Rattus norvegicus: one gene and its partner. The protein of the gene in region 1 purifies or fractionates together with the protein of each later gene. This does not show direct contact. Links are inferred from orthologs where the notes say so. Each region holds a gene or a part of one and is shown on either strand. Other genes may lie near its edges. The genes, in order: Rpp30 and Rpp25l.

Region 1 (4,444 bases):
GTATATGAGTTCACTGTAGCTGTCTTCAGACACCCCAGAAGAGGGCTTCAGGCCCCATTATAGATGGTTGTGAGCCACCATGTGGTTTCTGGGAATTGAACTCAGGACCGCTGGTAGAGCAGTCAGTGCTCTTTTTTTTTTTTTTTCCGGAGCTGGGGATCGAACCCAGGGCCTTGCGCTTCCTAGGCAAGCGCTCTACCACTGAGCTAAATCCCCAACCCCGCAGTCAGTGCTCTTAACCACTGAACCATCTCTCCAGCCTATTCTCCTTTTTTAAGGCAAGAAACTAAAGGGCAGATGCTAAGAACACCAGAGGACATGAGTAAAGGCCAGACTGTGGTGGTGCATGCCTACATGCTTTTAATTCCAGCACTCACAGAGACAGGAGGATCTCTGAGTTCAAGGTAAGTCTGGTCTCGAGAGTAAGTTCCAGGATAGCCAGGGCTATACCCAGAAACCCTGTTAGGACAAACAAAACAACCCTCAAAACAAAAAGCAATCTTGAAGACAGAAATGACATATATACAGTTGTTTGCTTAAAAAGAAATATACGTACTGACAGTCTATCAAAGAGAGAAATCAATGAGTTCATGAGACCATGGCAACAAAGTAAACAAGAAGATATACTATGCTTTCAGTTCATTTAAGAGCAATGTACTTTTAAACATCTTTGAAGGTAACATAGTTAATATGAGCTCAAAGTCAGGATTCCTTAGGCTGCATTAGAGTTTCTCATAAACAAAACAAAAGTCATTTGTATGAATATATGTTCGATTGTTCAACTGCTAAAGTAAGTAAATGCAGGGGGTTTTAAGGAATACAGCTGGTACACTGCCTTCCAAAAAGCACAAGGTGAGTGCACAAGGCCTTCCCTATAGGCCTGTAATCTCAGCACTGGGGTAGTAGAGGCAGGAGGTCATCCCTGGCAACAAAGTGAGTTCCAGACCAGAGACATGCAAGACCTTCCCTTAATAAAAAAGAAACACGCTTAGATGATTGATCCCTGACTGCCAATTAGACTGAATTAGAAATGAACATGGAAACATATCTCTGTATATTTCTATAATGGTGTTTCCACCCTGAATGGGAGCTGTGCTACATCATGGGTTGGGGGCCTGAGCGAGCGAACTAAAAGGGACAATGTGAGCAGAACCCCAGCATTCATCTCTTTCTGCTTCCTGACTGAGGAGAAACTGTGACCAGCCATCTCATGCCCCTACTGCCACGATGGGCTGTACCTTCAGAGTATAAGCAAAATAAACCCCTCCTTAAGTTGCTTTTGCAGGTATGTGGTCATAGCAACAAGAAAAGTAACTAGTACTTATACTTGTTTCTAGTTCATATTCCCAACTCCAGACATGAATATTTAGAAATACTTGTATTTAGTAACCAATTAACCCAAGAAAGTCTCCTTTACCCGTTTCTTTTCCTTAAAGTCAACAATGTGATTGATGGCAACAACTGAGTATCCCACTGAAAAATAGAAAAATAGGTTATTTAAAAAATATTCTTTCTTGTTCACAGTGATCATACTGATATGAGATTCAAGAGTATGGGATGAGGCTAGGGATGTAGCTAAGTGTTAAAATGCTTGCTTAGCATACGCAAAATCCTGGACGCAATTCTAAGACCTAGACAATAAGGGGGCGGGGCAGAAGGCAGATCTGAGCCCTACTGTTTATTGTTACTTAAGGTGGAGTTTCAGGTTCTTCATCTGTCACATGATGGTAACAGCAGACAGGAATTTCAAGTGTCATGAAAATGATGTGAAACAGCCCCAGCGTTTTAGAAGAGTACACATATTTGGCTGTGACATTTAGAAGCCAGGAACATATTTAGGCTGTGGTTTATGTTCACACAATGTTAAAAACTCAGATTTATATGTCTTTCTGTCACCTTTGACATCATTCATTCACTTCTTCTGCGATACCCTTTCTATTTCCTCTTTCCTAGGGAGCAAAGGAGGGATGACTCCCTCACACCTCTTTTGAGGTACTACTCTCTCTACACTGAGACAAGGAACACTACAGGCCTGCCTTACCATCACAACAGTTAGTGTACTGTTTGTGATACGTGCCCTCTCCCCAATGGATTTAAATCACGACTCTTATCTATTAAGTTGTCCAAATACCGACAGGATGATAGGGTATTGATATTTAAAGATAATGCATAGTAATGACAAAAACAAAAATCAAGTAACAAAAAGCAAAAAACGGTCGTTCCTCTTATCAGGCAGCCCAATAACTCCCTGCTTTCCTTCCTCTACAAGGGTTTTGAGAATCTATTATTTGGCAAGCCCTATGCCAGGTGAGAGCTCCCATGATCAATGCTCATCCTCAAGGAACTTATAATGCTCTAGAAAAATAAGGTAACACCCTTTCCATTCTCTAAGCTTCCACAGCAGTTCCTGCCCATGACCCAGCTTTCTGTATTTGACAGACGTCGTGTGACTCAAAAAGAGCCGGCTTAGGAGTGCAGTCCGTTTCTATCATTTATCAGCTCGTAGGTCCTATGCTAATCTCTCCACCCCCTGGGCCTCTGTTCTCTCCCTCTGCACGAATGACTGGGCAAACACAAGTAACAACAGTTTTGTCAAGAGCCTCTGAGTTTCTCACGCAGGGGATCCGGGTGATACTGCAGCTATAATCTGCCTCTAGAGACGTCAGGCAGATCCCACGCGAGACCCGAATAGCGCCTGAAAAAAACTACCAAACAAAGCTGGATGGTAGGGAGGACAACGCGAAGCCAGAAGACTCACGGTGAGCAGCGGTCTCCACGAGTCCGCGCAGAGCCTTCAGGTCTGAGCCCGCTCTTAGATCCAAATCTGCGAACGCCGCCATGCTGACATCCCAAGAGAACCCGCGCGCAAGTCTGCACAGCCGCTGTGTTGCCCCTCAGGCATGCTGGGAGTTTAGGTTGTTCCTTGGGCATCCTGGGATTTGTAGTTTTCCCTTCTCAGTCAGCAGAGACTTTCCTATCCCCCTAGAGCCCGCCAAAGTTAGTATGCTGATCTGAAATACATAGTCTCAAAAGCAGATAAACTGAACAAAAAATGAAGAGACATTGAAAGTTGTTTTTCTTTCCTGTTTCCACAGTACATTCCATTCTTTGAAAATGGCCGCAAAGGGTTTTTTGAAGTACTTGGTCTGTGGCTAAAGATTATCTAAACTCTTTGAGCTTTGACAATTCCTTACAGCCAACATCTACAACCACAAGATGGCAGAGTGATCTCAAAGATGATGGCTTATCGCCAGCATTCCCTTAGCGAGAGGACTGACAGGGAGGGGCAAAAATAAAAACATGTTTTACAATTTTTCATGAGAAATATAAAAATATCATTTGGTGTTTCTGCTTTAAAATGGACTCTTAAAAAACAAACTCTTCAATATTGACAGATCAATTATTCACCAACCTAAGATGGTGGCATGATTTTCAACCTACTTGACATAGAGGGCCAGTCCATTACCCCTCTTCATTCAGTCTTCGTTCCAGCATGCGAACCCTTTGCGCATTACTAATAAGCAGCTCCTACCTTGTGCAACTCAATAGGACTTCTGAACTGCTGGTCTCTCAAAGAAGAAAAGTCCACTGATCATGAGCTTGTCCATTGGGATAATACCAAAGTGCTGAAAGGTGAAGCATTTTCAGTTTCTGTACTGATCACAAACCATAGGGAGTCTTCTCTCTCTGATCACACTACTGTAACGATCTCTAGTTTCTTACAAATTTCTGAAAGATGATGATGACAACGACGACGACGACCATGATGATGATCATGTGGAGGAGGAGGAGGAGGGGGAGGGGGAGGGGGAGGGGGAGGAGGAGGGGGAGGAAGAGGAGGAGGAGGAGGAGGAGGAGGAGGAGGAGGAGGAGGAGGAGGGGGAGGCAGAGGCAGTATTATTAGTAGTCCAGGGTAGACTTGAATTCACAATCTTCTTGGCTCAGTATCCTTGGTTCTGGGATTACAGCCGAGCACAGCTGCACCTATTTTTTGATTAATTTTCAAAAATGATTGTTTCCAATACTTTTTATTTCCCCAGAGCAAAACAACAACCAAATAACTTCTGCAACTAGAGCAAGGCCATACAAAACAAACTCTTGCTTTTTTTCATCAGAGTGTCCAGTTCTAACCTTTATAGTAGTAGAGAGGTGTCTCTATACAGGATCGCAAAATCTAGATTGGTCCATAGAATGGCCATTGTGTAGAGGATCTAGATAAGATAGAATTTTAGTTATTTGATGCTAAGATAAGATTCGGGGGGGACAGAATTCTTTGAAAGTCATGGTGATGTTACTATGGACTTCACCTTTTTAGATTCCCCTTGCTCTATACCTGAGTGTTAGCATTTCTAGGCTCTGCCCAACAGTTGCCTAGCAACAGGCAGGTACAAGCCTGGCTTGCTATAAAAGGACCTGCCAAGGCACTCTCTCCTGGTGCATCATG
Region 2 (3,466 bases), on another chromosome or scaffold:
CAGATGTGTGCACCTCGTTCTAAGCTTCACAGCTCTAACGAGGTAAGCACCTCACCCCCCCACTTTTTGGATGAGAGCGCTAAGACCCAGAGAAGGAACTTTTATCCAAAACCACAGAGCAGTAACTTGGGAGTAGGAGAACCAGGATCAAAACCCTGAACCGCCAAGGCTGAGTTCATGATCCCACTACACTAAAACATACGCATGCCACAGATGGGACAACTGGCTGAGTCCCAACCCAGCTTAAAGCAGGCGGCAAGAAGCCATCCAGGTTACTACTGCTAGAACTTTCATCGAGACCAGATCCGTCATCCACTGCCAGTCTCTCTGTATCCTTCCTGCTTCCAGCCTAGGAGCTCCTGGGATAAAGCCAAGCCCCACTCACACGCAGGCCAAACAAAGCGGCACAACCTTTATTTCCCTTCCCTAGTCAGAAAAGGCAAGTCAGACATACTATAGAGGCAGAGTAAGCTCTCCTCACGCAGTCTTTAACTCAGCACTGACCGGACCCACACCAGTGCTTTTTTTTTTTTTTTTTTTTTTTTGGTTCTTTTTTTCGGAGCTGGGGACCGAACCCAGGGCCTTGCGCTCACACCAGTGCTTTTAACAGTTCCACCCCTCATTCCAGAGAGGAGGGGAAGTTCTTCTGTGGACTCTGCTGGCATGGTGAGCAATCACAAGCACTTCTTAGAGAAGGCACAGATACTCAGGTCTAGAGTACAGTCAGGTCCAGCAGATCGTCAGGACCGGGTGTCCCGAGCCCTCCTTCGGGGTCTGGGACCACAGCTGGAACTAGGTATGGAGCCCAGGCCAGGAGGTGCACCTGGGGGTTGGTAGCCACATTCACTGGGGTCCAAGGGGTCCCGACTAAGCAGTACCCACACTGCAGGCACATGGCGTCGGACTGTGAGGGGGTCCAGGCCCGTGTCCGGTGAAGTTGGGACCCAGCTGTCCTCAGTTTGCAGGAAGCGAAGCTTGGTGAGCTGGTGTAGGCCCGGAACCCGCCGTTTGACAATCTCTGCACAGCTGACGGCCTTTCCAGCGGCCCGGCCGGAGCCTGAGAACACCACGTGCCTTGTGCTTCCTCCTTCCAAACGAGCCAGTGCCAGCCCTAGTAGGTTTCGGATTTTGCTCCCATCTCGGACCCGCATTTCCAGCGTGTCGGGAGGTAGCTGGGGCATTGGTGATGAGGCTGGGAGCTCTACAGAGCCAGCCCTCCGGTAGTGCTCCATTCTGCTTTCGAGCCTTTGGTGACTCTCTGGATATACACTGCGGGAAAGAGTCAGATGAGTGGCAGGAACATGATCACATGGACCATCCTCCATCACTCCCTCCAGAATGTGGTCCTGTTCCTCACCACGGAGAGTGCTTTTACACCCTCACCCCAGCACTTCAAGGCTGGGGCCGAGAATTATCTACCCCTTTCTAAATACATCCACGAGTCTCTAACATTGACAAAAACAAATTCCCAAAAACTAGGCTCTCTGGGGTAGGGTTGTGCTTCATCATCTCAAGCTCTCCGGGGCTAGGTCCCAGACCCCAGGCCCACAACTCTCTAAGAACAGGCAGGTTCTCCTCACTGGGCTTCAAGGACCCTGGGGCACAGCCATGAACCCTCACAAAGTACTCCCCAAAGAAAGGATCGGTCTCACCTACGGTGTGTGGGGGGCAGAGAAGACCTCACTCCCAGATTAACTGAGTAGGCTAGCTTGAACCGGGCCACTCGGGAACTCGCGGGTGAGGACTCCCCGGAGAGCTGCTCGGGCCACTCGTGAGCGGTTGGCGGACTCCCCGATCGTGGGCCGCTGTCCCAGGCAGCAGGTATCCCCCTTTCCCTAACTCTGAGTCCCCACTCCCTGGGATTTGGCTCTTACCACCGTTGCCAGAAGACGCTCAACCCTCACCGGGTAGCCAAGATGGCGTGCAGACCGAGAGCGCGCGGAGCCGCGGGGCCGCGCACGCAGGGGGCGGGACCTGAGGGAAACCCGGGTTGCTGTTCGACTCAGAGGAGCTGATGCTGTCACCTGGGCGGCCTCGAGCGTCAGCGCAGTGGTCCGCGGTACACACCGGCACCTGCAGAAGGCCCACCTGAGAGAGCAACAGCTATCGGAGGAGTCCTGAAGAATGCAGATTTGTGCCTTTAAAGGATGGATGGCACAGCAGCGAAGGCGACGTCCGTGGTGGGTACAAGCAGGCAAGACCCTTAGTTACGGAGTTCTGAGCTTTGTTCTCATCCTGGGACACTGATCAACCCCGGCGGTTTTCAGTAAGGTCTAAGCCATAGCTTGTGCATAACTCATTGGCCACGGAGGATTGGTTTATAAGCATGGCGGATCCGGTAGTGGGGGCAACAGATACTGGTGACCCTGGGAAGGGGCTGTACTCAACATCATCATAGCGCTTCGGCCACGGGGGCGTGCGCACAGAGCCTAGTCCAGTATCCAGGGTAAAAATAGGCCCTCCGATATTTGTCCAATGAGGTGTTAACCACCGAAACAGCAAGAATTGAGAAGAGGTGGTAGAAACTTGATAGAAACTTGTATGAAGTTTTGGGGACGCGCGGGTGACTATTCGGGTAGAATAGTTTAGGATGACTGCCAGTTTCAGATCCGTTTGGATACGCTGCATTTTGGATGCCAGCAACTCTACAGGTTGGGCTGAAGCAACTCTACAGGCAGTTGAAGGAGCTAAGGCACTCCCTCAGACCACAAGAGGGCAGCATACACCGGGTGGAGCGCGGTACTGTTTCTCCCTGTTTTCTCATCAATGTACCCTGATTTTCCTCCTCTCAAGATCCTAAAATTTCTTACATCTTGGGCTCCTCCTCTGGCTACTGGTATTATGTAGACACAAGGCAGTGCAGCCTTGGCTCTGAACGTCCATTCCTGCTCCTCCAGGACCACCTGACATGCAGGCCTACCTGGTCTTCCCCAAACCCTGTGTAGAGATTAGCTGTCCCTGCCTATGCCCTCCTTACTTACCATAGGATGTGATATTTAGAGGGTAGTTGGCAAATATAAGATAAATAAATATACAATGCCCCGCTGTATAGTCAAATGATGAGAGAACTCTATCTCTCAGCAAACCAGATCAGGGGTATAGCTCCTGGTCCCATCCCATGGGGTTGGCAGCTCTCCTCTTCACCACCCAGATCCTCACAGCCAAGCCCATCCTGTATCAGCAAGCCAACACATTGCTTTAGTGGTCTCTATGGTTTATTGTCACTGAAATAAATACATTTGACAGGGAGTACAAATCATGACCCTAAGGTAAAGCTGACCTCTGACCTCAGAGCCCCCAGTTGAACACAGACAGGTAGTATTTGAATTCAGAGGCAAAGCTGTCTCTGCCTTATAAAGACAGGTTGGTGGAAGGCCCTGGAGCCTGCCTACCTCCCCTGGTGGGGACATGGGGAGCAGCTGTCATTCTGCTGCTGGCTTCACTTGCTTGGCAGCCTCTAGCTGGC

What was found.
Region 2: the proteins of Rpp30 (region 1) and Rpp25l purify together in Homo sapiens (co-immunoprecipitation; 3 studies listed by BioGRID and IntAct, counting the BioPlex papers as one, with this or other methods). This does not show direct contact. The link is inferred for Rattus norvegicus from reciprocal best matches to the Homo sapiens genes RPP30 and RPP25L.

What each region holds. Positions count from the first base shown.
Region 1 is NC_086019.1:243,197,117-243,201,560, reverse strand, and holds the start of Rpp30 (ribonuclease P protein subunit p30), read right to left. Parts: upstream 2,849-4,444; 5' UTR 2,841-2,848; coding exon 2,759-2,840; intron 1,474-2,758; coding exon 1,418-1,473; intron 1-1,417. UniProt on the Homo sapiens protein: Component of ribonuclease P, a ribonucleoprotein complex that generates mature tRNA molecules by cleaving their 5'-ends. Also a component of the MRP ribonuclease complex, which cleaves pre-rRNA sequences.
Region 2 is NC_086023.1:61,673,900-61,677,365, forward strand, and holds Rpp25l (ribonuclease P protein subunit p25-like protein), read right to left. Parts: upstream 1,923-3,466; 5' UTR 1,875-1,922; exon of another isoform or gene 1,653-1,874; intron 1,270-1,652; 5' UTR 1,233-1,269; coding exon 741-1,232; 3' UTR 522-740; downstream 1-521. Other genes in the region: Dctn3 (dynactin subunit 3), read right to left, coding at 3,423-3,466. UniProt on the Homo sapiens protein: May be a component of ribonuclease P or MRP.